Drosophila melanogaster: one gene and its partners. The protein of the gene in region 2 interacts with the protein of the main gene of each other region in a pairwise test. Each region holds a gene or a part of one and is shown on either strand. Other genes may lie near its edges. The genes, in order: CG13476, Nnf1b, aln and CG32655.

Region 1 (2,710 bases), on a different chromosome or scaffold from region 2:
GAAAGAGCGGAGCAAAACAAACCCACCGATGAGTGAGTTTGCTTTGAGTGAGAGAGCAGAGAGCCTGAGTCAACAGGTTGTTTTGCTGGTTGGGTCACTTAACCTCGTTACTCTTTGTATTCCTCTGTGGGTCACACGGGGCGTATGTGCAATATGGCTCACTCGGTGCGTATGTGTGGCGTATATGGCTCAAGTTTGCCGACAAATCGCCGACAAATTGTTTAGGAACATGGATGCTGGCTACGCACACGACTTGGATTACCAGTTGGGATTGTCTTTAACCCAGGCTGTGGGTTGTCACAGTGCGTATACGTGATTTTGTCTTGACTTTTCTGCAGGACAATTTGTGCGGATGTTGGCGTGCTTTTCTCTTTTCTTTCTGTTCATAATTTTGTATTTTTATGGTCATCCTAAGTTTTTTCGTTTCAAGGGTTTTAACATTTCGAACGTCTTAGAAACTTTCCCACAACTATAAACTGAAGAAAGAGACAATGGGTTTTGTCATTTCACCATGCAAATTTAATTGAATCGATAAAAAATATAAAACATTTGTAGCCCTGACCACCTTATTATTCCTTTTAAATGTGTGAGGTGGAATTGACAACGCATTAAATTAAGACGTTAGTAATCGAATTGGTGCGGTCTTGGATCCTATTTAAAATGGTTACTGGTCTTCTGTTATGTTTATATCAATAGAATCCGGCACATCTTTTGGATATTGCTGATTAAAATCAGACGCTGCAAGACTACGGTCATTCAGAACTTCTGTCTCGTCGGAACTCGGATCCAAGTCGAGAAACGCCTTGGAGATCATTTTGGGATTTAGTTCGGCATCCAGGTCGTTGTTCTCAACTATTTTAATCAAAATTTCCAGGAGCAATTCACAACACTTCTTTTCGTAGCCCATAACATTGGAAATGGCATTATGGATTGTGTCCTTCATTTTTAACAGCTCTTGATTCAAGTTTTCGATATCAACTAGAGCTTTCTGGGAACTGGCCAAAGAAACAGCAATGCGACGTCCCAGATCCTCGTGCTCCAGGCGCATATTGGTGGCATTTTCCCGAAGACATTGCAGCCAAATAGAACGCTTGGCCATTCCCCTCATGTTCATTGTGAGCGTACAAAATATACAGATTTTATTTGAATTTATTTTATGTGTGAATATCTGATTACTTTCAGGGCGTCAATAGTACTGGGAAACCTATTTTAGATCCATAGAAATGACACAGAGGCAACTGGGAATGAGTAGCCTGCTTGGGTGGCGCTACAATAAGATGACTGACATCAATTATATTAATTATCAGAGTAAGCCGATTAGCTGGCTAATGAATTAAACATCATGGGAATTTCCCGGCCCATCCTGAAGGCGACAAATCAATGTCACTTAAAACATATAATTATCATCATTAGCCGCCCAAAAGCATCGCACTCCTCATGAACCTAACTTTTATTACAGACTATTTTGCCAAGCTGATGGTGCTCGGTGTTGCATTCATAATTGATTGTCCTGTGGGCAAACGTGTCCTTTGCCTTTGCGTCCTTCGCAAGATAAGCACTTAAGCTAAATGAAAGCAGATGTCTTAATTTTCATTTAAGTTGCTGACAAAGAGATTTCTAAGCTGCTCTGTCAATGCCTTTATCTGCGACCTTCCTGGTTAATTTTTTATTTCGAATGTGCGAACGTAAATGAAAAAACGCTTGGTAATTGGTCAAAGCTCTTGATTCCGGTCCAAAGCAAAGGATTTCATTTTTAATGAGAAGCAAATATGTTCAGCCCTAATTGGATTAATGGGAAGTCCTGCGGGATCTAAACGGCTTGCGGTCTAGGTCAGAGTCAATGCGATAGGGGCGTTTTTTGAGTGAAAATGTTCGCTTTGTTAACAATTTAACAACTTTGTTGGGAATGGCTTAAAATTTTGTTGGAGAAGAAGGATTAAATCATCTATATGTGATGATGAAAAGCCTATTTATATATATATTATGTTATACTCGCATTCAAGAGATTTAAACACTAAAAGATCATATCTCTATATTCTAAGAGCTTTTCATGAATTTTGATTTTTATAATTAAAAAGGCGCAACTCGTTGTGAACATTGTTGTAGGCAAATGAAAAGTCCTTTTTAACCGGCACGATAATTAAATCATGCTCAAACAGAATTTGAACTGAAATCTCCATCATCGGTTTAACTTTTCTTCCGTTTCCTCCGACCGGAAAAAGCTCTTCCTTAGCTGTCAACTGGTAAATGCCGAATTCTATCAATTTGTCATTCAATCATTGCACGAACGTTGCTAAGCCGACTATGCAAATTGAAGTCAAGAGGCATTAAGTCCAATCCCAAAACTAAAACGCTACTCCATGACACAATTGTCAGGGTTTTATCGGCTTATTTCTATGCATGAGTGCAGACACTCACAAGGACACGTTTATACCCACACAAATGCAGAACACTTTTTGAAAAGGAAGAAGCTTTGGCAATTTTCCGATTATTTTTTCTTCCATGTCGAACTTATGTGAATGCATATATAAGAACATCAATCTTTTTTGTTAGTCTGAATTAAGAGAACTTTATTTCTGATGTGGATTGCAAATACTATTCGATTTTAAAGTCGAATTCATATTTAAGAGACTAAGGACGTGTTGACTTTTGTTTATAGTGAAGTTCAAAATGTACCTTATTTATTTATTTTTTTTCTTTTATATATATT
Region 2 (8,277 bases):
GCGGAGTGGTGACATACGACCTGGTGAACGAAGTGCTAAAAGATGCCGATGTGCCGCCTATGCTGGGTGCGATGGACAGCGACTGGGACCGGATCGACTATGACGGCAGTTTTTACTTTCACTCGGATAAGATCTTCGAGCTGAGCGCGGAGTTTCAGAAGGAAGTCAATCTGTGCACACCTGATGATGCAGACTTTCAGAGCATCTGCCCAGTGGAGGATAAGCACATGGACCAACTAAGACAGTGTGTCCAGAGTCTTGTGACGGCAGCCCTTTTTGCGGACAGCAAATCCCAGACGGCCGCCGTCTGCCATGCTTTTCAGACACCCCTGATGGGATCTATCTACCGAGTGATTGTGAGTAAGATGGTCCAGTTGCTAGCCTTTAAGCAGCAGGACCATTTGAGCCAGCGATGCTGGCGACTGCTCCGAGCATGCAACTACAACGCCACTGCTAATCACAATGCCTGCCGGCCGGAGTACTTCAACCTGGCCGAGGTACTGGTCAGCCAGCTAATGGCACCTTACGAAACTATCAAAGCTCCACACGTCGACCCAGATCCGGGACAAACCACCTCCATCAAAATGGAGTTTGAAGAAGAACTAAAGGTTGAGCCAGACCAGTGCCATAATCCGGAAACCCAGGAAAATCCGGAGGTCATGGGAGTAGAGAAACAGGAGCAAGAACCCCAGATGTTTCCGGGTGAGAGCACCATGGAACACACAATCTACAAGCTGCAATCGGAGGAGGAGGAATTGAATCCTCAGCCGGAGGCGGAACACCTATCCAGCTACTTTGCCTGTCCAGTCGGCAATGGCCTGGTGGACGAGCTGTGTGAAACTATAGGACAGCTGGCATCTCAAAGTGGTTACCTACATGCAGAGTGCCTGTTTTTGATCAAGAGACGCCTAGCGAGATTCTTCGAAGGTCGCCACGTCAGCAGTGAGAGAGGTAAATCATCCTTACAATTTGTTAGCCTGGATCCTTATCTTTGGATTTCTTAATTAAGACTTTAGGTATATCAGTAGAGCAGTGCGCGGTCTCATTGCCCTGGGAGAATATGCCTTTCGTGAGTTTATTCCCTACATCTACAAACTGCGCGTCGAGGAAATCCCGGATAGCCTGTGGCCGGATCTGGCTCCGGCTGCCATCTTCCTTGGCGGTCATGATGACGTATACCTGTATGAATGGCTGGAGTACGGATGCGGTGCTGCTCTGCAGCCCTTCTTGGTCCACTATGCGCGTAAGAAACACCCATGTGTTCCATGAAAAGCGGTTAAGTAACTAAAAATCATTGCAGGAGCCTACGAAAAGATGGTAACCAGACGGTATGTGAAGGCCAAACAACCCGCTTACAGAATAGAATCAGTGCCGGGAGTGCGTCGGTTGGAATGGAGTACTCTTGCGGCAGCCATGTGCCACGGAGACGATCCTAGCAAGGCACTCAAACCGAAGCCTACGCTCTGCGAGGCTTTCCCCGACCTTCAGTCACCAAATCTTCAGCTCAACTGCGCGGGCAACATCCGCTTTAAGTTTGCAGGATGCCGCCCGGTGCTGCTGAAGCCGAAGGTTGCGACTGTTCCCCACTCCGAAGACTCGCCTTCGTCGGCAGCGAACGGTGGTGGGGGTGGCGGTGCCAGCTCCGACATCCTGATCGCCAAACGAAAACTCTTTAAGCCCCTGACCAACGTGAGAAAGTGGTCGCCCATCAGTGGCTATCACTACCTAAGGATCTGAAAGGGACTTGGGAAAGTATTATAAGACCTTCTGGAGGTCCAGGAGGACCTGGGGATCTCAATAAAACTCTTCGTTTACTTTAGACTTCCTCTTCGGTCTTCCGAAAGGTGATACAACTTTACTCGTAATACATAAAAACACAGAACTAAAAGGCTTCTTCCTGAGGCGTATGTCCATTTAGTGAGCCCAAAGCGGGCACGGGCATTCCTGCAGCTTTCATCTCCGCCACAATCCGCTTGTTGATAATGTTTCGGATGTTGGCATTCACATCCGGCAGAAGTCCACCTGTTCGAGCTGCGTGCTCAATTCGCTGGACGACGTCGATTTCGCGGCGCGATGATATCAGGTTCGTGACTAGCGCCTTGTCCATGTTGCCCACCCGACCGATCCTGCCACAACGATGGATATAATCGGAGACGTGGAGCGGAAAGTCAAAGTTGACCACATGTCGAGCTCGTGTGGTATCCAGGCCACGACTTCCCACATCGGTGGTGGAAAGGACGTCGCAGTGACCGTTTTGGAACTGCTCGAAGCGGCCAAGACGGATCTTCATCAGCATATCCCCATTCAGATTTAAGCAGTTCACTCCGCTGTTGTTCAGGAAGATGGAAACGAAGTCACTGGTGGTGGACTTGTTGCTGAACACGATAAGAGGGCGACGTTTGGCAAGATCATGCTTCACGAGTGACAGAAGTGTGGCGGGCCGATCGGCCTTCGACAGCCGCAGGAACTTCTGCGTCACATGAGACATCAGTCGGTGCAGGTGCGGACTGACGACCTCACGGATGGTGTCCACGTCTATGACTTTGTGAAGGATCTCTCTGGTGTTCGTGGGCATGGTGGCCGAGGCCAGGATCATCTGGGTGCCAGCATCCTCCTTTTGCACCAAGTGGAACTGTCGAATAAGAAAAAACAAGCTGATTGAAGCCATTCCTTTGGTAATCGCCTAGAATGACTTACGGGAAATCTCCTGAGGAAGTAGGAAAGTTTGTCTGTGAACGTATCATCTAGGAGGGTGTCCGCTTCGTCTAGAACCAGATGACGAACCTGCTCCATGCGGTAGATGCCAGTGGTCACCAGTTTGCTAAGTGCACCCAGAGTGGCGACCAGTATGTCCACCTCCTCGAACTGTGGGTTCATCATAAGCTGCTTGGTATTGCCGCCAAGTAAAGATTGCACTTTGAGATTGGTGCCCTGGGTGAGCTTCTCCGTGACCCCAGCAATCTGCGTGGCTAGTTCTCTGCCGGGAGTGAGGATCAAGACACGGGGGGTGTTGAGTTTTCGTTCGGTGACCACTTCTTTCTGGAGGAGTTTGTCTACGATAGGCAGGAGATATGTAATTGTTTTTCCACACCCAGTTTCAGCGGCAATGAGGCAGTGCTCATTTCCATGGACAACGGGCATTCCCTGTTTTTGGATTCCCGTCAGTAATTTGATGCCCAGCTCGACTCGCAAGTTCTCAAGGAGTTGCGGATGAATCTGCATCCCCGTGCTCTCGAGGAACTCATCGACGGTCTGCATTTCCTGCTGGAGTTCCTCACCTCGCACGCTGGCGTTCAGGATGAAGAAGTCTCCCTTGGATTTGTTGTGCAGCCAGCCCTTGGAGGCCAGCGAAAGACTCCCAAACTTGGCATCCGTCTGCTCGTATTGGGTTAAATCGAACTGGCTTCTTCTGCAGGAGATTAGGGGCTCCCCCTTCTGCTTTTTGCCCTTGGACTTTGCCTTTGGTGGCTTCGTCTTAACTGCCGCCGCCGCCGCTGTGGCATATGAAGCCACATGGCGCGATGATTGCACCCGGAGCACCACGGACAAGTTCAGCATGCTTTCGGAATATTATTCAATGTTTTTCATTTGCCGGCAAGTCAGCTGTGCACACGCATCGAAGTGTTGGAAAGCGCCGCTCGAATTCAATGCCACTTGTGGCGGTAAGTTTGAAATTCATATTTATTTCAAGACCCAGCAACTAATATAATAATAATAATAATAATAATAATAATAATAATAATCTGTTTTTTTTTATAAAATTACATTTCTTCCTGCACATACGAATCATTTATTAGCCGTTCCATTTCCATTAACTGTGGCTTAATGGCCTGGTACTCGGCCAACTGCTGCTTCATCATACATCCCACTTTCACCCGTTCAGCGTGGACATCATGTATAAGCTGTCGATTTTTAATGCTTTTGGCCATAGCAATCTAAAATCGAAGTAATCCAAGTATTACTTAATTCTTCGGAGGTTGAAATACATACCTCGAGTTCCTTTTCCTGTTTCTTAAGCTGTTGCTCCATGAATGTGATGCTTAGATTCAAGTTGTGCATGCGCAGAGGGCGAGTAAGTTCCTCAGGGGACAGACAGTTGAAGTTCCTGCGGATTTACGTTAAAAACCATGGAAAGTGCTGCTGGACAACCAAATTCAAAACCATTCACTAACCAGTTCTTGCCCTCGTGGGCGGCAAACTGCTCCTTAAGCATTTCCAGCGTGGTCAGCTTGGTCTCCACGTCGTTGCCGGAGAAGAAGCACTGGTTCACATCCAGGACGATCTTGGTCATAAGCCGACGGGTGCTGTGGATTATTTGCTCGGTGTCCAGGCTCGTGGATTCGTGCTCCTCGAGGATGGAGGCACACGACTCAAGATCTGAGGAGCTAAGCAATAGTAAGCGTTTGGTCAATCTTTTAATCAGCCATTCTCCTACTTTAAATCCGAGAAGATCTGTCCAATGGCTTCCTCGTAGGCCTGCTTCACCTGTGGAATGACAGCCTGGAGCCGTTTGAAGGCTGCTTCGGTGTCCTCTTCAATATTATTCATACTTTTAACACAATTCTGGCAAAATAATAATTACAAGCAAAACTTGGCGACCGAAAACATATGTGACCATTTACAGATAGGTTGTGAATACCAACCCCTATATGACATGATTGTAGGTATAGGGTATTCGAGCTGCTTTCAATTATGATAACATATATATTGTATAAATTATTTTAAACAACGGTTATTGGCTAATTGGTTAAATTCAAGCATCAAATCTGGTAAGTTGGCATTACTTCGAAAACACTCAATATAACATTGAACTCATTTTTTACGCCACATTCAGAGTGTATTTCTCGAACTGAATTACACAACTTTTCACATGTCGCATCGGCGAAGGAACTTGCAACTAACACTCAATAACTGCACTTTTCAGTTTCCCCGAAAGTTGTGCTTTCACTGCAGTTTGCCACATCGGGAAAACTTGCCACAATGGAATTTCCTTTTATCTCCGCTCTTTCGAGAGGGTTTTTAATTTGTGCAACGTTTTGGGCAAATTGTTGAGGCGGGGACGCAGTTTTTAATATGTTTTGAGTAATTTGTGCGCATTTGCGAATTTTTATCGCAGTCACAAAAGTTTGTCCTTTGTGCTCCTTATCGTGTGCTCCTCGTTGGCGCGGTTGTAATGATGACTTTATGACTTTATTTACGTGCAATAAAGGAAGCATTCTGCGGCAAACTCAGGTTTAAGCATCACCGAGCCACTACTTTCGAATATAAATGCGATCCAGGTTAATTTATTCGCTCGCCGGGTCCGGCATTTCCATTATTTTCCGGGTCCGAAAAGGAACTCAGCTGTGGAGTAGGCAGAATTCGAAATGTGCTCTCCCCTGCACAGGAAAAATCATTTCGACATCAATCTTATAACGACCCATAAATGCCACAAAAATGAAAAGGTGGAAAGTTCGAAATTGTTACCCGGAAAACATTGTTACCCATGGGACATACATGTTTTTCAAAACTTGGTGCATACTTTCAGGCACCATTAAGTGAGATTTGAAAAACCCACTAGCATCTTCTCCGTTTCGATACACATTTTCTCTTTGTGTGGCCCGGATCTCAGATATGCTAAATCCCGGCCAGAATCCTGAGCTGTCCCCTCCAGGAACAGAAGCAGAATCAGGAGGCGTGCCAGTCGGTGGCCGTGTTAACATGCATGTGCCACTCTGCCGCATGTCTTGCTAAAACTCGGCTCCGAATTTGCATTTCAATGATTAAAGTGTTAAAATGCCGGCCGACACATGCGGACTGTTCAGGAACCACCGCCCAGGATCCACCCGCCTTCGTCCTTCGGATAGTTGGTAATGGCTTTATAAAGCGAACACCTCAAGCAAGATGCGATTTTAATATTCTTATTCTCGTGCACATGGTGTGAAAAACTTGGAGATGTTGACTTTTTGTGGTGCGACTGGTATGCAAATGAGCCTAAATTCTGAGACAAAGTTTTGCATACTTTTCTGAATTCTGAATTCTGAATTATACCAATCCAAATAACTATGCATTTCTCACACTGTTTGCGCTTGTCCTGCTCAAAAGAGAGAATATGCTTTCCCCGAAAGTCTTCTCTTTAATTAGTGAAAATGTTAAGTTCTGAAAAAATACTTCTTCTTAATAAACTCATATCACTTACCTAGAAACCCTTTGAGAAAGTTATTCCTCTGAGTTTCCATATAACATAAAGCAATCAGTTCTTGAGCAAAGTTCAGCTGTATCTCGAGGAAAGAAGAAACTTTTGGATATTCAATTCCGAGCGTTCGTGTCTGATCCTTTGACGTCAGATTGCTAAAAAGTTATTCGAGTTTTATTTTACTAATCAGAAAGTCTCGTGTCGTCCTGTCAAGGGTTTCTCCTGCTACAAATTGGATAAATCACTTGGCTCTAATTGATGCTCCATTTTGCCAGTGGGCGAAATTCTGGTCAAATTCCAATCAAGTCAACGCCATCTGCACTGAAAGAAACACTTATCCTTTTAGGCTTCTAAACGTACATTGTTGTTTTCTTAGTTTAAGAACATCAGTGTGTTATAACCATTTGCTGATAGTGTTATCATCACCTTGATTATGCGCTATTTAAATATCGATGAGAAGCGGATATGTTGGCTTGGCTCTGATCTGTTCGTCCTGTGTGCAACAGTGGGTCCTGGCTGGCAGCGGCAGCCGTCGCTTGGCGACACTTGCGGGCGTGACAGGAATGGAGAACCACTGGGAAAATACCAGTGGTGGGAGGGGGTGTGGGGCTGGGGGAGCGGTGCGTCAGCCGCAGTGCGTGAAATGCATTTAAAATTTTCGCTGCATACTTGTCGCCTCGAATTACAGCGCATTTGTCGAGTGGTGCTTTGTGCTTTGTTCGTGAATTTGGGAGCTGCATTCGCATGCAAATCCACAGTGGAGGTCGCCTACGTGTGCTTGACACACATATGTAGATCAATTGTGCAGAATTTGCCTGAGTTAAGCGACTTTTAATAGTTTCTGAACTAACAAGCTGTCGCGCAAATCGATGGTTAGGAGCCGACCACTATTCATGTGACCGCAACTGTGGGCACTCATGCGTGCTGGAAATGCGCTTTAAGCACGCATTAGAACAATGCATGAAACCACAGCTGCCGCCATATACAAGGCTGTGTATATGTATCTGCACATATCTGGATATGGCAGCCGTAGTCCTACCGATTTTGCGGATTAACACTAATGAAACGCAAGTACAATGGTCGAAAGTAGCGTCAGACAATTGGTATGCAAACCGAGTTCCAGCTACACATGTAAGTCCTTCATATCGTTGGAGACGCCTCATCTTCCATGGAATGCGATTCGCAAACCTTTTGTTTGCCTAAGCTCTCGGTGGGAGAGGGGGGGGGGTTGATTTCCTTTTCGGGAATGGGCCGAACAAAAAACAAACACCGGAGCAACAACCGGCTGGTGGGGTTAGTTTACCGAAGCGGCTTTTACGGGCTTAACATATTAATTAAACTTGAAGTGGAAACACGAAACCCGGCTGGGTCAACTTTAAATTAAGTTTTAATCTGTTGCTCATATTTAAACAGCCAGCAGATTGCTGAGTGTGTGGTTGCACTGCGAAAAAAAATCGAAGGTTTGCCACATAAAGTTGCAGCAATTACTTCTTAGCCAAACTTTCAATTCAAACAAATGGCTTTCAACTCTATCTGCAGATGTGTTTATGAACAGTATTATCTGCTTATTTATTATTATTGGCGAGTTGATGGGAGTGCAAGTAGTTCTCCGTGTAGCTTTCCAAGGACACTTGAATTTTGCGTGTGGGTGCTGCGTGCTTTCTTGTAAGCTCCGATGTTCTGGCTCCGCATCTCTAATTGAAATTGGTCATTTGGCACACGACTTCCAGCGACCGACGACATGGAGGTCTCAGGTCTCAGGACTCAGGACTCGGGACTGACGGATGACAGGCGACAAGTGAGTGGCAAGCAACGACATCTGGCTCTCAACTCACCCTGCCTGCACTGAGAGAAAAATGGGTAGCTTGTTGCGTGGCATACTGCACTTATGATCAATAGCAAGATCTATCTTCATAGGCCAGCTGGGTATTGGAACTTGTTCAATCAATAAGATACAATACGTATCCATTTAAGGTGCGGATATTTGCTTGCTGTGTTTATACTCTTCTCGCTGAAAATCAACTTGTGGCTCCTCCTCCTCCTCCTTCTCCGCCTGGTAATGCAGTTAACTTGGATTCCGTTCGTGTCCAGGAGAAATCGCA
Region 3 (9,006 bases), on a different chromosome or scaffold from region 2:
CAGGATGCCGGCGAGGCGTACAACAATTGCTGCAGCAATAACTACAACTACATACAGTGCAACACGTACTTGGATCAGGATCTGCAGATCACCAGCGAGGACATCCACCAGTATCTGTCCAAGGGCGATGCCACAGCCAGTGACATTCTGAACAACTCCAAAAACTATCCCTTCCAGCCCTCGAACGCCCTAGAGTTTCAGTACAAGAACAATTTCCAGCAGGGTCAAGCGAACGCCAATAACAATAATACCAACACCACAAACACAGCGTCCAGCGATGCTGCCGAGTGTTTCCAAAACTACAGGGCCATCTCGAAGGAGACGAACCTGAACCAGACTTCAACGGAACAGCTCTCGCCCACAAACATCAATTTGTCAACGAGCTCGAACAACATAAACATCGTGTTCAGCAGCAGCTTGGAACGGAATGCCAACGAGGTCAAGTTTATCAATAACAGAAGTGGTGCAAGCGGTGGTTCCGAGATGGGCTGTGAGGTGGGTCACCATGCGGGCTATTTGCCCTACACCTATCCCAGCTACGATTACACGAACATGTCGGGAAACTCGCATTTCGAGAAGCCCCTGGGCATAGACGAGCTACCCAAGGAGTTTTGCGGATTGGAGGGCGCTGGAGGCGGTGGCGCCTCCACCACCAGTGAGCACTCCTCGTCGCTGCCATCGCCGCAACCACTGACGCACCACCAGCAGCTGCACCACTTCGAGTCCTTCGATGCCGCCTCCGAACACAATTTGCTAGCTGCCCAACCTATGTCGCCGGGCTCCCCGCTGTCGGGGTCCGTGAACCCTGCTGGCGATGACTTTGTCCAGATGCACCACTATCATCACGCCAACTCACCGCACTCACAATCGCACCACAGCCACGCCCACACGCACACCCACGGCCACCACGTGCACCACCTGCTAAACCACCCCGCCTACGATCTGACCGACGATCAGTTCCGGTTGGGATCGGCTTTGAAGCGAGTGCGCAAGCGAGCACGCAAGTACACCGACTTCCTGCGCAAGAAGTGAGCGATTCCGCGGACTCACTGCATCCTGAATCCTGCATCCTCCCCTAGATTCACCCTACTTCGGCCGCAAATACCTGGTGGTCTCGAAGCGACGATCGCAGAGCCTGGACGAAGACTAATCATGTGGCGACTGGACAAGCAATAGCCGAGGAAGCAGCGGTGTTGTTCGGCCGATCGAGAACCATAATTACATTTAATTACAATTTTTACACTGCCAAAAAGTTAAGTAAATTAAAGTTAATTTTTGCTAAGCCAAAACTCTGTTTAAAGCGAGGATCACACAGATCAGACACGAGCACTACGGAAAGGGTGGATTTACGAGGGTGGTAAAATTCGGGTTCTTGAAGTTATATAGGTTATTGTCCGTACAATCTTGGAGAACTTGTATATAGTTTTACCTTCCAGAAATTCACTCGCCCTAATGCACAAACAAGCCACACACACGAATCACATCAGCTGCAAACACAAGAGGAAGATGAACAACGACTATTTTAAATAATGAAAGGAAGTACTTAAGCTAACAGTGCGTATACATAATAAATACAAGCGGTATCAGAGGCGGGCATTTGTATATTCAACTTAAACATAAGCGAAGGTTTTGAATTTGCATATTTAAATTGACTAAACCCATATACATAGTTAAGAGCCAAGGCAAATGGAAATAATAATGCACACCTACTCAAGCCTAGAAGATAGACAACCAATCTAAACATACCAGTTAAAGCTAGCTATAAGGATGCGATCAGATGGATCAGATGGATCAGATCGGAGCAGCGCCACAAGATTTAGAGTTTCAGCAACCGCAACTGCAAACGCAAGTGCAACTAAATAATGAAATTAACCATTAATTAACAAACAAAACAAGCAAGACAAGAACAGCAACTGTAGTTTGGCACACTAAGGACAACAAGTTAAATGTTATAAAAACGAGTGTTAAGATTACACGAAAAAGTGAGAGTTTTGTTAGCATTTATTTGATATGCGCGTATTTTCAGGGACTGCTTGCGATTTTTGTAATAAAGCAATAAGCCGTTTTGCTCAAGGATTAAATACGTTTTCGTTTCACCCAGAGCCCCACAATTCTTTTGATTTTTTCTGCATTTCCGCATAATTCCTTTCAAGTGTATTATCCCCCAACAACTGTCTTCCAATTATACTTTCTAGTCGTATCTCTCGTCGTAGCCTCAGTTGCTCCCAAAAATAAATGTAAACTAAGCACTCCAACTTATTTTAATGGCCGTTGAATCAGACGTACCTTGCGTGAGAACAAAGAAAACCGAGAAAATTGTAAATAACTGCTGTTGATTAATTACTAACCTAATTTACGAGTAACAACTAAATGAACTTAATTTGTAGTCTTTAGCCGTGGCGAATCATTATGAATTAGTGAACCGAAAATAATAAATATAAATGCACTGCCAAAAACAAAGGTTTTAAGTAAAAGAACAACAAGAACAAGATCCTCTGGGAGACTCAAACGAAAAAGAAAAAAAAACACTAAAGGATCAAGTTCACAAAACCAAATCGAAAATGAAAACTGCTGTAAATATAAGAATGAATACATATAGAGAAATCATAGACATTTTTTAAAGGCACATTAATTAAAGAGGAGCATGCAATTTGCAGATTTTTTACATTATTTTAATGAACTAAGGAAAACAATAATGAGTTAAACGGAGCTACGAAACCGAAAAACCAACAAAAAATTAAAACGCCACGCGGCCGTGCGATTTTGTAACAAAATCAAAAGACAGAATGTTAACATTGCGTAAAGTTAAATCAAGTATAAAAATCGAAAACGAATAAAAAAAACAGGCACCTCAAAATGGCGTAAAAGGTGCGTGAACTCGGCACCGGAAACGGAAACTGACTGGTCTTAAGTTGTGTGCACCATTCGAACTGTAAATAACAGATTCTGATCTGCCGAAACAATTAGCCCTAGAATGCAACCCGAAAATCCCCAAAACAACGGACCGAGTTAAAGACATTATCCGCTAATAGGAAAACCACTACTATGGGAGAGGCACTACTAAAACCGAGGCAAATCCCTTTAAAGTTCACGTAGCAAGGACACAAACTTACCAGTTAGCCCAAAAACCCTCGAATCGATGAGATTTCGAGCCACGATAATCACACACAAAACCGAACAGAAGTTAAAGCCAGCGGCAAGAATTAGTAAGATGCCGATTGAAAATATAGCTGAATTAACACAATTAACAATGGCATTATACCCTAGCGACTTTTTTTTACCTGTTTGTACTTTAGTTTGTGGTTCGGATATGTTCTAGCATTTGTCATAGCCACTTATAGTTGTGTACATAACTAGTTAAAATTGTGCATACAGAACGGTTATCTTAAGTATATAAATACACGCAACGGTGAATATTAGCAAGACCCTGAAGAAACACTCAAACTATACAGACTTGCCAGCCAGATTCGCATTCCGACACACTGAGAATATTCGGAGGTGGAAGTGGGAGTAACGCGGAATAATAATTACATTATTAATATACAACAATAAACTTGAACCTAGGTATATGATTCTGAATTTAAATAATTTTTAGTAAGGCAGAGCAAAGAAACGAGAAGCAAATGCAAAACGGAAACTCTAAACACTTGAATGAAATTAAAAGACAACTTATTAAAAATACAAATAAAAATTGATGAATTAAGTAAAGTAAATTGCTCAATTTAGCTGAGAGTATAAATAAAGAATTATACGTTAAGTAATAATTTCAAAATACAAACCAGTCTTGTTCTTGGGCCAGGGTAAAAATGTGGCTGAAAGGAAATCATTTTCATGACAATTTCGGGTGGAGAACACTTTTAAGAAATAAAGGATACATTGGCAGCACTGATTGCGATATACATCGATAAAAAGGATTCGAGTGCGCACTGCGCATGTCAAGGATGTGTCAGATTTGGTTGACAGTTCTGGACTTTAAGGGTATATACCCGTACCTTCGATGGGGTGTGTAAGCAAGCTGGTTAAAAATGGAAATCTCTGGCTTTTAAAATGTTGACCGCCCTGCGTCGGAAAATTCGGTTCGGAATGCAGCGCACGGTTTTAATTGCGGTCCTGCTGGCGGTGGGCATTTTCAGCTACGCCTTTCTCAACCTCAAGTTCTGCTTCAAGTTGATGTCCCATCGGAGCCTCAACTTGATGGTAAGCTATTTCCCCTTTCCTTCACTGCAATATATGCATTTCTCAATATAATCTTGTATGGAATAGTGCCAGAAATTCGAAAAACATGAGTACAGCGGCTCTCTGTGTGAGGAACTCTGTGGTTCCCAATCTTCCTTCGACAACTTTCAGTGTCCGCTGAATGATATGAAAACTATCCTCTTTACGGCCGAAAAGAACGGCGACTTGTATGCGGTGAAGGTAGGTCGCGTTTTCCTGGTTCTCACGCTCTGGTTGCCAAGACTACGACTTTTCCATTTTTCCACTCACTTAGCTGGCCCGGCACAACGATGACGAGCTGAGCTGGACGAACAACAAGGGGGAGTCGATATACCCCAAGCTCGAGGAGTTCCACGAGATCGTGAAGCTGCACATCATTCTGGCGTACAATGTCACCCTGGATGATAATATGGTGAATAGACACGAGATTAGATTGTGCTCAGAAAATAAAGTATCTGGCTTTCATGTGAAAATTTCAGATCCGCGCTCTGGTCAACCAGGAAATAGCCGATGATAACTCGCAGCAGATGGTCAGTTTTTGGCGGCTCTTCAAGGACAACAACTACATGATGGGCAAACTTTTCGACGAGGAATCCATCTTTCCGGCTGTGCTGGGCTCCTGTGGACCCTACTACGCCACTGAGGGACTGGAGATTGTGCAGTCCAACCCCAGCATAATGCAGTATCTGTGGGTTCTTAGTTCTAACGAAAATATGATCGGAACTTATGTATCTTTTAACTGTATAGGGCCTCCAATCGCGTGCAGCGGCTGAAGCATGCTCTCAATATTATGGAGTACATTTTCCGACTGGACGAAATGAAGCCGGAGCCGCTGAAGATGTGCAAGATGCAGGTGAATCGCTTCGGAACCGCCTCTGAGCGAAGACTGAAGTACCAGAGTGCCGAGCACGTCTATGTGGAGAGCCAGCTGGACAAGCGATTGTCCAGGGGCGTCAAGTGCCACGCCCACCAGGACTGCCACTTCCACTCCTGCCGAGGATTGTGTGACGAGGAGAAGCAATCCTGCACGCACATTCAGCAGAACAACAACTTCCAGATTTTCTGCGAGCACATCCTACTGGGCGGAGGCACATTTCAGCCCGGCCTCCTCAGCGGAGTGCGCCTCTCCAAGGCGCTCCAGAAGCTGGTCAAGATGTGCGTCCAGCCGCCCAAGGAGCATCAAGTGCCAGGACGCCAGTGGGCACCCAACACGCAGCTCGCCCTGAGGCTCTACAACGAGCTGAAGCAACTGCATCAGGCTGCAACAGCATCCGCAGGATCCGTGATTCCCGACGAGGGACAGGCACGTCGGGGAGTCTAAAACATTCGGGGATTGGTACGGAAGTCGGAGAAGCTCGGAAGCAGCGGACGGTAGATCAATTGGCGTACAGCTGGCTCAAAACTGATAGCATTTTTATAAGTAGACTTAATTAATTACAAGTAAATAAAACAAAAATGCTTTTTTTGACTACAACAAAACAAATCTTATTGCCTCTTTAAATTAATTACCAATCTAATTTAAATTGGATAAATCAAGAAGCCACTGCAAAAACAAAATGTAGTTTTTTGGACAATTGAAATTCCCGCCATTCTTCTTCTTGGTTACCTAACATTCACCATTCTTCTCTAGAACTGTAGGGTTCCCAACCATTTCAACATAGGCGCCAAATTTAAATTCTGTTTAACGGTCGTGGTTTTTAAAATCAAGTACCATTAAACGGAATTTAAACAATGAGAATAATAAAAAACATTTCCGTTGAGTATGTTAAGTTTATTCAGCTACTTTTGCTTTGTTATTATTCACTTTGAAAAATTTAAATTCAGATTACATGCTTTGTTGGTTACATACAATTTGCATAGTGGTTTCTGGATATAATTATATTTATTTGCAGCCTGCGCCCGGGCCAAAAGTTTATCTCGCCAGGCTTTTCCGGGCATTTTCCGAGGGAAAGCTGATGCTTACTTGACTAAAACACAGATTAACACGTTTACTTTATGCTGTTCGCATTGCACTGACGCACATGATGTCGCAGTTGTAATTAATATATTTATAGTTAGTCAGAGTAATTAGATAAACTAAAACACACACTTTAATTACCACAATTATCTAGAATTTCGACAGGGCTTAAGTACAACAATTAGTTAATCGGTAAGTGCCATTAATACAATCGAAAAGAATTTAGTATGTTACATGTTACGGTCGATCGGTTGTGAGTTGAGTAGAGCTCCCTCCACGAGTAAAGTGCAAAAATGTAGAAAATGTTGTGGCTATTGGGTTCCCCTCACTGTGCGTTTGCTTGTCATCTGATCATCGGATCATTTGATCCATCGATCCTTCGATCCTTCGACCTACGATCCTACCATCCGATCCGATCCGTCGTCGCGACTTTAACATTTAATTACGAATAATGCCGGAGGTTCGTTTCACAAATGTTGTAAAAAAATACATTTCATGTTTGCTTCCTACATTTAGCTTTGCTAAATCATTATTGTTTTCCTCGCATTGATATATGCATCTGGCATTTATATTCATGCTCCAGACTGTAACCGGCGTCTCGGTGTGTGTGTGTGGGTGCTTCTAAGAGACAAAATCGGATTGAAAGCATTGGATGGACAACCGCTTAGTAACTTCGTCTCGTGTTCTATACATATAATCGTTTAATCAAATCCTGGTCCTGTTTGAGTAATTTGTTTGCAAGAGACACATGCATTTGAGTGACTCTGACTTATCCTCGTATGCTACACTGTACATTGGCCCAACTGGCTCCTGCTTACCAACTAACATAAACGCACAGACACCAAAACGAGAAATATGCTTCGAAAATCGTCTCGGATACAGTTTAGATTGGCTTAAGTGCTATCATCTGGGTGTTCGGGCTTCAAACTTGACTGCTTAGCCTATAAGTGTTGTGGACTTTTTTGTGAACAAAACAACCGAAAATGGGGCAAAGAATACGAAAACCAAAAAATAATAATTACATCCGAGCAGGCATTATGTTTATTTCGGGCATAGTTTAAAATTAGAATAATTAAAAACTTATTGTTTCTGGTTTTGATTACGTTTAAAGCTTACATATTTTATTTGTAAATTATAAAGTACAAATAAGCTTTGCATTGCATTCATAAACTAAAGTTAAGCTTAAATTATTTCACGAAGTTGTCACACTCGAACGAGTGCCATTACACAAATCTCTGCTTTAGTTTTGCAAAGCAAATCCAGTAACTCAAGTATAAACTATGATTAACATTTAGCAGTTTAACTAAAACTATGTACCAAACTAAGGCTAGAATAGTTATACTCTTACTCTCTGCGTTCAATGCGAATAAAACGAGTACGAAACGAAAACGAAATGTAAATTGCTTTTGATTCTGAGTAGTTCTCGGCTGCGGATCGTTAGTAAATCAGACTCGGAAAAGTAAAACTAAGAGCAAAGGAGTCTAAATAAGTTAAAAATGCACACAATGTCAAAGGTAATCTTGAGCATATAATACTTTGCGTTTCATACACACAAATCCGGAATAGAAAACAAAAACTATACGAACAGAAAGGCGGCCCAACTAAAATCTAAAGGTGGACTGAACGGAAACGCAATTGATGACGAATAAATAAATTACAATTACAAGTTACATACAAATTAGGATTGAGTATGCGAGTGTTTCTGGGTGTGAGTGAGCAAAACTATCCGTAAACAAACGCACAGACGGAAAAACAAGTGCGAGGCTAATGCTCACTTCGGTGGCGGAACACCTTTGCCCAAAACACATTTGAATATCATTTTCTCATACTTTCGTTTGTTGTTCTTGCTTGCCTTTAAGCTTCCTGCCTTATCATTTGGAATTCTTTCGCCAACGGCGTTCATTTGTTTTTGGTTGACAGGGGATTGGAGAGCATGAAGATCAGGTCGTTCTGCTGCTGCAGTATCTTGTTTAGCATATCGCGCCACCCCGCGTAGTTCTCCTGCGACGCCGCCTGGCAGATGATCGTCATCTCTGGGATCTTGGGGTCAGTCGACCTTATTTGAAAGCGGCAGTCGCCCAGTTCCTTCATTTGCATGTGATTGAGCTGACGGTGGTAATCGGTTATTGTTAACCCATTCGAAAATTCTATGTTATCCCTCTCACCTGTATGTGCGATCTGTATTTGAATATGGGACTGGCATACTGGTTCTTGGTCTTCTCAATATCCGCAAAGATGATGATCTGCTGGAAGAGGAACACCTGAAGCTCGCGGTGCTTCTGTGCCGCATCCACCACGCAGTTCATGGGTCCCTGCATCAACAGGCTGCCTTGGGCGGTTATCTCCCCATCGAAGTCCTGCAAGCTGCGCAGCACCACCATCATATCGTTGACCGTCTTGACGACGACCTTCATCTGTTGGTAGGCCTCCTGCAGCATGGGCACCTCCTTGTAAAGCCCGGCTCCCTCGGTGGCCTTGATGATCTCCTTGATGAGTAGCTCGTATTTAGTGATTCGCTGCACCGGCTTGATGATCAAGTTACTCAGCTGCGGATTAGAAAAGCGGGAATAAATAAGTTACAGATTTCACAAAGTGTATGTATTCCAATTACGAGTATGATTAGACAATTTTGACTTACATCCAGACGATGTCCCAGCTTCTGACGTATGCTATCGAAATACTGATAATGGGCACTGACTATGTATTCGGACAGCGGTTTGTTGCTGCAATAGGTGTAGTACAGAGCGAACTTGGTGGCTGACCGCTTGATGAGCGGACCCAGGTCCGCCGGCGATTTTTGGCAGTTGCGCAGGGCTCTCAGGAAGAAGCTGGAA
Region 4 (8,897 bases), on a different chromosome or scaffold from region 2:
CAGTTGACATTTCGAGTGTTTTCAAGCACAACAACAAGTCATTTTGAATAATAGCACAACGGGGTTCAAGTGTTTTGTGCCTTAGAAAAATGCAATGACTTAATACATATACAAACAAGATATGTGCTAAACATGGCACCTAATATGGGCTAAAATAAATCGAAATAACACTTTGAACCAGAAAGCATTTAAACCCATTGAGTTTTATCAAAGAGAAGAACAGTTCCTTTATTGCCGTGTCACCCGAAGGTGTTGCTTTGTTTTCATTTCATTTTTTTCATTTTTCATTTTTTTTTTTGTGTGAGACTCCATTCGTCGGCGCAATCATCTCCAATTCAAACGCAAGAAACTGGAACACAATTGCAATAAACGCACGCCTCGATGAGTAGCTCCTATATTTTGTACCCATCCATATATCCTTTTTTTCGGTCCGTTTTCCCCACACACACACACACACTCGCATGCCACAGAGTTGCATATTGAAAAAAGGATAAAATATATCTGTGTGTGTATGCAGATGGAGGCGAAGAGCGAATGATAAAGAAATGTCCCATATAGAGCGGCGTGAGTCGAGTGTACAATATGCATTTTCATATCTGAATAAATAGACAGGCGAGAGGTGCGGAGTTCGCACTGGGATACAATATATATATATATGCATATGTATATGTATATATATATAAATTCGTATATACATACATACACAGCCCACAACAATGACCGGAGGGGTGAAGGGGCGGTAACGAGGGCACACAGATGGAAGAGCTTACGAGGACGAGATGGAGGTTCAGCTTGAGGATATGGATGTGGATGAGAATGTGGATGTGGATGTGGATGAGGAGCAACAACGGCCAAGTGGTAACCAACAGTCAGCCAACTGATACAAGGGGCTGGCTGCACTGTAAAAAAAAAAAATGGACCACCTGTTAAGGAATTGCTTATTAATTACTTAACAGTACAACAAAAAAATATGTTTTGTTACTTTGTAAAAATAATTTCAATTGGCATTAACATTTCTAAAAAAATTCAACTTTAAAATCAAACTTTTAAGCACTGATAACTGCTCAACGATTACATATTGTTTTTTAATTTTGTTTTCATTTTTTTATATTGATTGAAACTGCTTTCACGATTTTATATTAAAATCGAGCCAACTTTGAGCACTAAGTAAACATAAAAATTGAAAAAATCCGTATGCCAGAGATTTAAACAAAAAAAAAAAAAAATAGAAATATTTGGATGCAAACTAAATGAGTGAAAATAAATAAGATGCTTATATGATTTTATCCCCCGGTGTAGTGGGTTGGAAATATGGGCGTGTGGGCGTTTGGGTCGTGTGGGCGTGGCCGTGGGCGGGTTTCGGCAATGCGGCGCAATATGTTTGCCTGTTAGTTTCATGCATTTCATATCGAAAACCATTCGTACTTTTACTTGAGTGAGTTTTATGAGCAACGAGCCGAGCCTGCACGGGGATACACATATCCATGAGTATGAGGATGCTCCACTGGCTACATTGTATCCTTTTTCCAGTTCAAAATGGTAGAGATGGATATTTCGAGAGGGTTTCCCAAAGGGGAAGGGAGGGGGTGTAGATCCTAACATCAGTGGCCCCCGTTTATATGCATAGTTTTTGGTTGCTGTGCGATTGCAAGCTGCCAAGTGGGTTAGATTGTGTTCCGCTGCCTGTGTTGTTCGCTCAGCTTTTATATTAAATGAAAATTCCAATTACTTTTTATGGGACTGCCAGCCGAACGCGGGACCACAACCGTAGAGTGTGCTCTAGAATTCACTTCAACTTAAATAGTTAAATACTAAATTCCATAGCACTAGGAGCATAGAAAATCGCACTGGAATTGGGAATTGGTTAAAAGTTACCTTTGCGGGTGACAAATCTATGCTCAAGCTTTTTGCAAGCAAAACAAAAGTAAGAAGAGGATCTAAAATGTATATACATTTTCATGCCTGACCTATATGTTTTAAAAATATTGCATTTTTTCTCTTGCTGATTTATTATGTCCCCTTGAATGTCAAAGTAGCCCATATTTAAGCTGCTGCTGCGAATTGAAAACAGAAAAATTACAATAAATATTTCTGTTTCTCTCTTTTTTTTTCGCCACTTTTAGGTAAGTTATGGAAACAGTCTGGCAAACCTGGAATACGATTACGAATGCGAATAGGACCTACTATATATGTATAAATGTATATATGGATGGATGGATGGATGGACGAATGGATGGGTGTATATGTATAGAAAAATGTGCATATTTGAGGAGCGAGGGCAGGAAAAGCGCCTCGTTTCGCTTGGCTCAACTGCAGAACTTCGAAATGCCGGGGGAATTTAATAATTCAAGTGGCTGGGCGAAGGGCGAAGGCCTCTCTAATGACCTACTTGAAAACAAACAACAACAGTAACCAAAAAAAAAGAAAGAAAAAAAAAATGAAATGTGTAACCACCCACTGAACGAACCACCCACCATCCGCACATAAGTAATTTGTGTGTGCTCGTATGGGTCAGGTGGTTTTTCGGTAGCCAGAAACTTGTTTAGTTTTCGGTTTGCCTTAGTTCAGTTTTCAGTTCTCGAGTTTTCCATTTTTTTTTTTATTTATTTCTTTTCTTTTTTTTTTTAGCTTCAGGTTTGACTTGCAAGTTTAGTTTTGCACTTCAAGTGCATTTCACTAGCAAAAATCGCACACACAAAACATAACCTCTTGACCCAGTCCAATCAATAAGTCCCCACCATCATCTCTATGCCACCCCAAAGGAAAAGAGGAAAAAATCGTGATGAACATTATGATTGAAATGCCGAGCTTTTCATATCATTTCGTTGGACAAACAAGTCGCACAAAACTCCCAAGAAGTGGACATGTCCGTACATACATATATACCAAATATATATTGTATTATATATATTTATGTGTATATGGTATACCTACCTAGTTCATGTGTATTCTTATAGCAATGGGAGACAACTCGATTTTGCTCGTTAGACAACATTTGTTTCGGACAGTTGGCAACTAATTTGTTTTGAAATGGATGTGGAGAGTGTCCTCGACCCCCAGGACTTCAATTTGAGACAGGGGACCAAGGGTCGGCAAATTGAATAAGAAACAAAAAAAAAAACGAACAAAAAATAAAGCACAAGATATGCTGAGAAAAGTCGACCGAATATGCCATGAGCATGTGCAGATTTTCTTCCACCCCAAAAATAATAGGCCCTCCACTTGTACGTAAATATGTTGCCACATTTTTGATAGCATCAACAGGAAAATTGTTTGCCTTTGATCCCTGAAAAACTAAGTAGTCATGCGGTGAGCCATTCAGCTATTCAAAGTTTAAAACTATAGGATTTTTAAACAGAGTTTTCTAAAAGCCTTTCAGTGGATCCCCCAATGAAAAGGCTGGCTAGTTGGCTTCAATGTGTGTATTTGTTTAATATTGTTGCCAGATCTAGTAAATAGCTGCACTTCCAAGTTTAATTAACCATTAGATTAGTCTTAAAAACCCTTAAAGGGGGCTTTTAATCAGTTTCCGTTTCCGTTTCCGTTTCGTGTTCATTTTCAACGATTTCCGCCACATTCGCTGAACATTCGACAATGTCAGCTGGTTGCAATTGAAGTGATTCTTCTGGCAATTTCACCTCTAAGGATGGCGAATTCGGTCCCAGTATGTCCTTGAACAAAGAATCGGCACTTGGGAGATAAAAACTTGGATCTTGATCGGTATTGGGAATCACTTCGTCAGTTTTGGAATCATCGGTATCAGGTGTACTTGGTAAAATGGCCTGGTCTGTAAATTGAGAATCCACAAAGGTGAATAATGCTGACAGCGAGACCAAAACTTCGTCTATATCTTCTCGTTCCTCTAAATTGGATCTTCGCTGCTCCAAAGTCTGCAAATTGGAGCCCACAGAAGTTGCCAATGCGGATTCATCGAACTCGTCTAACATGTCCTCTCTGGTATTTGATAAGTTATCTAGAAATTTAATACCGTTTTGATTGGATTAAATTAGAATGTGAAATAGCTGAAACCGCTTATTACCCAAAGTTATTCTATGTTTATTTTTCCTTGCTGGAACAACGAGACTTCGTCGATTTTCCTTTTTCTTTAAACCTTGTGAACTACTTGCCTTGGGTCTTTCGCTAGTCGTTAAACTTTGTGTTGGTGGATCGGCAATTGTAACCGATTTATTGGAAGGTCGTCGTTCCAAACGTGCTGACTTGATAATGGGAGAGGTCCTAGAGCCAGAAGGTTTCTCCGAACTCTTTTTCACGACGGAACTAGCACTGGTAGCTGGAATTGGTAATGGATTTCCACCCGAAATGGGAGCAACGGTCTGTCGAAGTTTTTTATTCTCAACAAAGAGTAGAGACCTCAAATTTTTCATTTCTTCAATTAGCTGCGATCTGCGCTCTTCAAGTTCTTTCAATTTACGATGTTCAGCGTCCAAACTGGCAAAAAGTCGAGCAAATATAGCATTATTCTCTTCTTGCTGGCGAACATGGGCTTCCACGCGGCTCGTTCGATTCTGGGATCCACTGACATTATCCTTATTGTCCTGGGATTTCTTCTCGGCCATATTTTATTTGAGATTTGAGCTTGAGGTTCTCTTGGGAATTGTCTTAGAGTAGGGAATCCTCAGTCGCTCTATCAAAAACAAAAAAAAAATTTTGAATTTCCTAGACCTGAAACAACAATATTTTGGAATTTTGTTCTATTGTGTAGTGCACAGTTACTGTGTCGTGTTTAAACTGAGATAATCAACTGATGGATGTTCGAAATCTAGTCAACTAAAATCAAGGCCAACATGTTTTAGATATTGAAAAAAAAAAAAAAAATAGATTTAACATGGCTTTATTTTGATCCGAAATGATGGCTATAAAATGGCCAAGTTTCAAATTGATCAAGTCAGAAATTGCGCCCAACAAAAAGTACAAATAAATCGGAGTACGATTTTATTTGCACTCCCTGTGCTGCCATTATCCTGGCCTTTTAGCCACTCTCAAATTGGTCGAACTATTAAAGTGAAAAACTTTTTAGCTTCTGTTTTCCGTCGCTCGCCTTCGAATCCCCCATCCCGGGATTGGTTCCATTTTATTCGGAATCTCATATTTTGGCAGACAAACTTCAAACTATTGTTGTGGCAAGTCAATGAACTGGCAAAATCGCCTAATATTTCCACACTCCCAGACACTTGTCCTTTTTTCCTCTATTTTCCGTGTGTTTGCTGGCAGTTTTTTTTTGCTTTTTTTTTTGAGGAGGGAAAAAGGAGTTTTCCCTGGGAGCTTCGCTCCATGTTTTGTGCTCTGAATGGCCAAGTATATTAAAAGTCTATTTCTTTTGGCAAGACAATAAAGTAGCGCGAGGGCGCAACGAGCGATAGTGAAGGACAGTAGTGGCTCACCCTGCCCGTTTTGCTGTAACAAAAGCACACGAAGATGAAGTTGGAGCTGGAGCAGGAACAGTAGGATTCCGGACTCAGGATCCTGGGATCCTGGATCCACGACTTTGGCAGTGGGTTGAATGAGCTGGCGGGCGGCTATTGTTCTACATCGCGAAATAGCGCACATAAAAAGCCAAAGAACGACGGCCATAAATGATAAAAAAAAAAAAAAAACAGAAAGAAAGTGGGAGAGAGGAGCCGGAGAAAATTGGTGGAAGCCGAAACTGAACCCGAAGTGGGAATAAATGACAGCCAACTGGCAGCCAGACAGAGGCGCCCCAAAATGTGGGGTTATGGGGGATATCAAAAACTAGGGAGAGCACCCGAGAATCCCAGAGAAAGACGGCAAAATGGAATAAAAAATACCAGGCCGACATCGACATTTTCGCAGCGCACACCAACCTACGCCCCTGTCAATTTCCAAGGAAAAGGGTTAAAAATGTTTCATTGCCTCTCTCGACAGGACTTCGAAGACAACATATGCCAATAATTTACGCAATTTAGACAAAGTAAAAACGAAAAAGAACAGAAAGTCGTGGCGGGGGAACAAAAAATAAAACAAACAAACAACAACAACGAAGAGACGGCCCGGAAAAATGGGGAATGGAAAGAAAAGGCCCAAGAAAATGTTCTCTTCAGGCAGCAAATCCATCACTTCAAGGAGTTGGGTTGGTATGTCCAAAAACCATCAGCAAAATAAAGACAAGGATGAAAAAAGCCGGAATCCAAACCGAATTGATGCTCAATTTTATATTTTAAATGTTATTCAAATTGTGTCACATTTCTCAGTGTAATGGCTTGGAATTGTCTGTTGGAAAAAAAAGGGTTATCCCAGTTGTTGTTTTCGTATTTTGTGGCTTGTACGAGGCACTCCTCCCCGCCTTTTATTTTATTTATCGACAGCCATTTCTCCGGGGTTACATATCCGTTTATATAAAGCAGTATATAGAGAGATGCCTTAGAAATGAGCGATGCTCGAGCGATTTAAACGCGCTAAGCTAATTAGCTTTGGCCAACAACACCAAGAAGTTGGCCAAAGCAACTGACCCTCAAAGGTTGCCAAAGGCCTCCGTTTGCGTTTGCGGAAATTGCGTCATTAACAGCCGCTTAGTTTAGTGTGTGTGTGTGTGTGTGGTAAATAAATACTGTATACACTACTACTCTTACAGTAATGGTCAAGAAAATAGCACAGAAATCGGACAACCTCTTGATGGGAAATAAATCAAGTGGATAGACAAATTTTAATCGAGAAATATACCAGACATAATATTGACAAAAGCGTAATCACCGCATTTGCATTTGAAGTTGCCCCTGAGGCAGTTGGATCATCTCCTATTCCCAGCGCTATAATTATGAGCACAATCGTTTTTGATATCCCCACCACGTCGGTTGGCGAAACATTAACCCTAAGACCTTTGATTAATGCCGGCTCAAAAGACACAACGAAAAGGGAAACGAACAAAAAGGCGATGAACAAAGTCTCGTAATGAGACTGCCATTCCGATGATATGACATCTTGTTGTTTGGGTCCACTCGACTGGAGGACTCAAGGACCGAATGGAGCCAAAGGACGAGAAGGACCACTTCTCTGCCATTCGTTCTTTGCACCCATCTCAATTACAGTCGTACAGTCCAACTGAAAGATGAAGAGGTAGAATCTTCATCTTCGCCCAACGAATTGCCCATTCCTTTGGTCATTTCACCTGCCTCCAGGGGTAACTTTCACAAGGTGAACTCCTTAACCTACTGCCCCTTATGGCACGACCCCCATCCTATACCAGCCCACCCACGACGACCCACGCCCCCTGCTAATGATGTCCAATTCAGTGTATTCGATTCGATTTCATTGGGACTTCCCCGGAGGCCAGGTGTGATGGCCAGAACAAATGAAAGCAAATCCGAATCGACGGAGGTGGAGGTGGAGGTGGAAAACCAAACGAACTACATGACATCTGGAGTACTAAACATCCGATTGCCAGTACATTCTCGACAGCTAATTGGACAAGTGAAAGTGAAATGATGGTCCTGGCCTCGAGCGTTCTTTTTGCCGGAAAAGGTTACCGTTTCGCACACTTGCAGAATAAACATGACCCATAGAATTGGGTCACTTGAAAGTGAGAAGTGGAATGGATGGTTGTACATTTTTATAAATTCTATTACATGTGCTTTCTCATAATTGGCAACAATGTTATTTTATGTTTAATTAAGGGGGCAAGTAGTTCTCCCTTTTATACACTTTGAAGAGTCAAGAGGCAGTAGTAAAATTCATTCTAATGATTAGATTGAATATAGATATATTGCCTCAGCACACGCATTTTCTCGCTGTGTAAGCCCTATACGTAACTGCTAATAAGACGCACTCCTGCTCGACTAATGCCAAGTCACAGGGAAAAGCCCTTTCTTCTTAGTTTTATGTTGACTGTTTCTTTTTCAGTTTCAGTTTCGGTTTCGGTTTCAGTGTCAAAGTCAGAGGCCGGGTCAAAAGGCGCATCAATGCTACTGAGCATATTTTGCGGTCGCCTTACTTCGCCCAGCCCCAACCCATTTTCCATTTTCCAGCTGCCACTGGAGCCCGGCTTTTCCTTACTTCATTTTTCCCTTCTTGTTTTATTTCCATCTTTTTTTTTACGTCTTTTTGAGAACTTTCTGTGTGTGTGTGTGTGTGTGAGTGCCATGATGCTGCACAAAAAACTTCCGACAACAATTCTGCAAACGCAAGCAGGAAAACATAAATCTGGCTAAAGCTAAAACGCAAACTTTTATTTAAAAAAAAAAATAAAAAGAAAAAGGGAGAAAAAAAGTGGGAAAAAAAAAATAAAAGGAAGAATTTTGTGTGAGTGCGTGCAAGTGATAGAGGGATTGGATAAAACAGAGACGACGAGTGCAGCCGAGAGGTCCCGAGTTGTGGAGCTTAAGATTGGCCCCACAGCTTGTAGACCAACTTATTTTCCAGGGCACTCAACTGGGTCGACTGCCAAAGGGCGCTACTTATGGATAAAGTACACAGGGGTAATAATAAGCAAATGCATATATAAGTGTATTTAGTTTGTTTTTCATATAATAAAATGTTTCTTTAAAACAAAATTACACTACTAATGCAGTGCATAAAACCAAATGCAGATAAAAGTATTATTTCAATATTTTAATTAGCTGAAAACTAAACTAAACTACAAGAATCTCAGTGGGTAGGGCATTATGTAAGCTCCTTGAATGGGCCAAACCGCATTTTGCAATGGACATAAAAATGCGAAAACAAGCTCTTCTTCAGCAGACTTGTTTCGTGCGAAAGAGATGGGTAGGGTGGTGAGAAAGGGAGGGACATAAAAGAAGTATCTTGCAGATACGAAGATTTTTTTTCTTCTTCTTTAAGCAAATGTCCACATTTTGACCATTTGAAATCCAAACAGGCAACTTTTCTGTGTCTGTGTGTGTGCTCCTTTAGTTTTTTGCACTACG

What was found.
Region 1: the proteins of Nnf1b (region 2) and CG13476 interact in a two-hybrid assay, tested with the Drosophila melanogaster proteins (one large-scale study listed by BioGRID).
Region 3: the proteins of Nnf1b (region 2) and aln interact in a two-hybrid assay, tested with the Drosophila melanogaster proteins (one large-scale study listed by BioGRID).
Region 4: the proteins of Nnf1b (region 2) and CG32655 interact in a two-hybrid assay, tested with the Drosophila melanogaster proteins (one large-scale study listed by BioGRID).

The regions. Positions count from the first base shown.
Region 1 is NT_037436.4:14,703,948-14,706,657, reverse strand, and holds CG13476 (uncharacterized protein), read right to left. Parts: upstream 1,195-2,710; 5' UTR 1,115-1,194; coding exon 665-1,114; 3' UTR 501-664; downstream 1-500.
Region 2 is NT_033779.5:806,917-815,193, reverse strand, and holds Nnf1b (Nnf1b), read right to left. Parts: upstream 4,618-8,277; 5' UTR 4,549-4,617; coding exon 4,436-4,548; intron 4,386-4,435; coding exon 4,173-4,385; intron 4,106-4,172; coding exon 3,991-4,105; intron 3,936-3,990; coding exon 3,762-3,935; 3' UTR 3,663-3,761; downstream 1-3,662. Other genes in the region: Saf6 (SAGA factor-like TAF6), read left to right, coding at 1-951, 1,010-1,243, 1,301-1,737; Dbp21E2 (DEAD box protein 21E2), read right to left, coding at 1,883-2,632, 2,698-3,558.
Region 3 is NT_037436.4:990,014-999,019, forward strand, and holds aln (allnighter), read left to right. Parts: upstream 1-3,969; 5' UTR 3,970-4,047; coding exon 4,048-4,197; intron 4,198-4,263; coding exon 4,264-4,416; intron 4,417-4,489; coding exon 4,490-4,627; intron 4,628-4,694; coding exon 4,695-4,903; intron 4,904-4,962; coding exon 4,963-5,536; 3' UTR 5,537-5,690; downstream 5,691-9,006. Other genes in the region: trio, read right to left, coding at 8,072-8,278, 8,338-8,718, 8,811-9,000.
Region 4 is NC_004354.4:12,231,153-12,240,049, forward strand, and holds CG32655 (uncharacterized protein), read right to left. Parts: upstream 4,726-8,897; 5' UTR 4,578-4,725; coding exon 4,040-4,577; intron 3,974-4,039; coding exon 3,519-3,973; 3' UTR 3,410-3,518; downstream 1-3,409.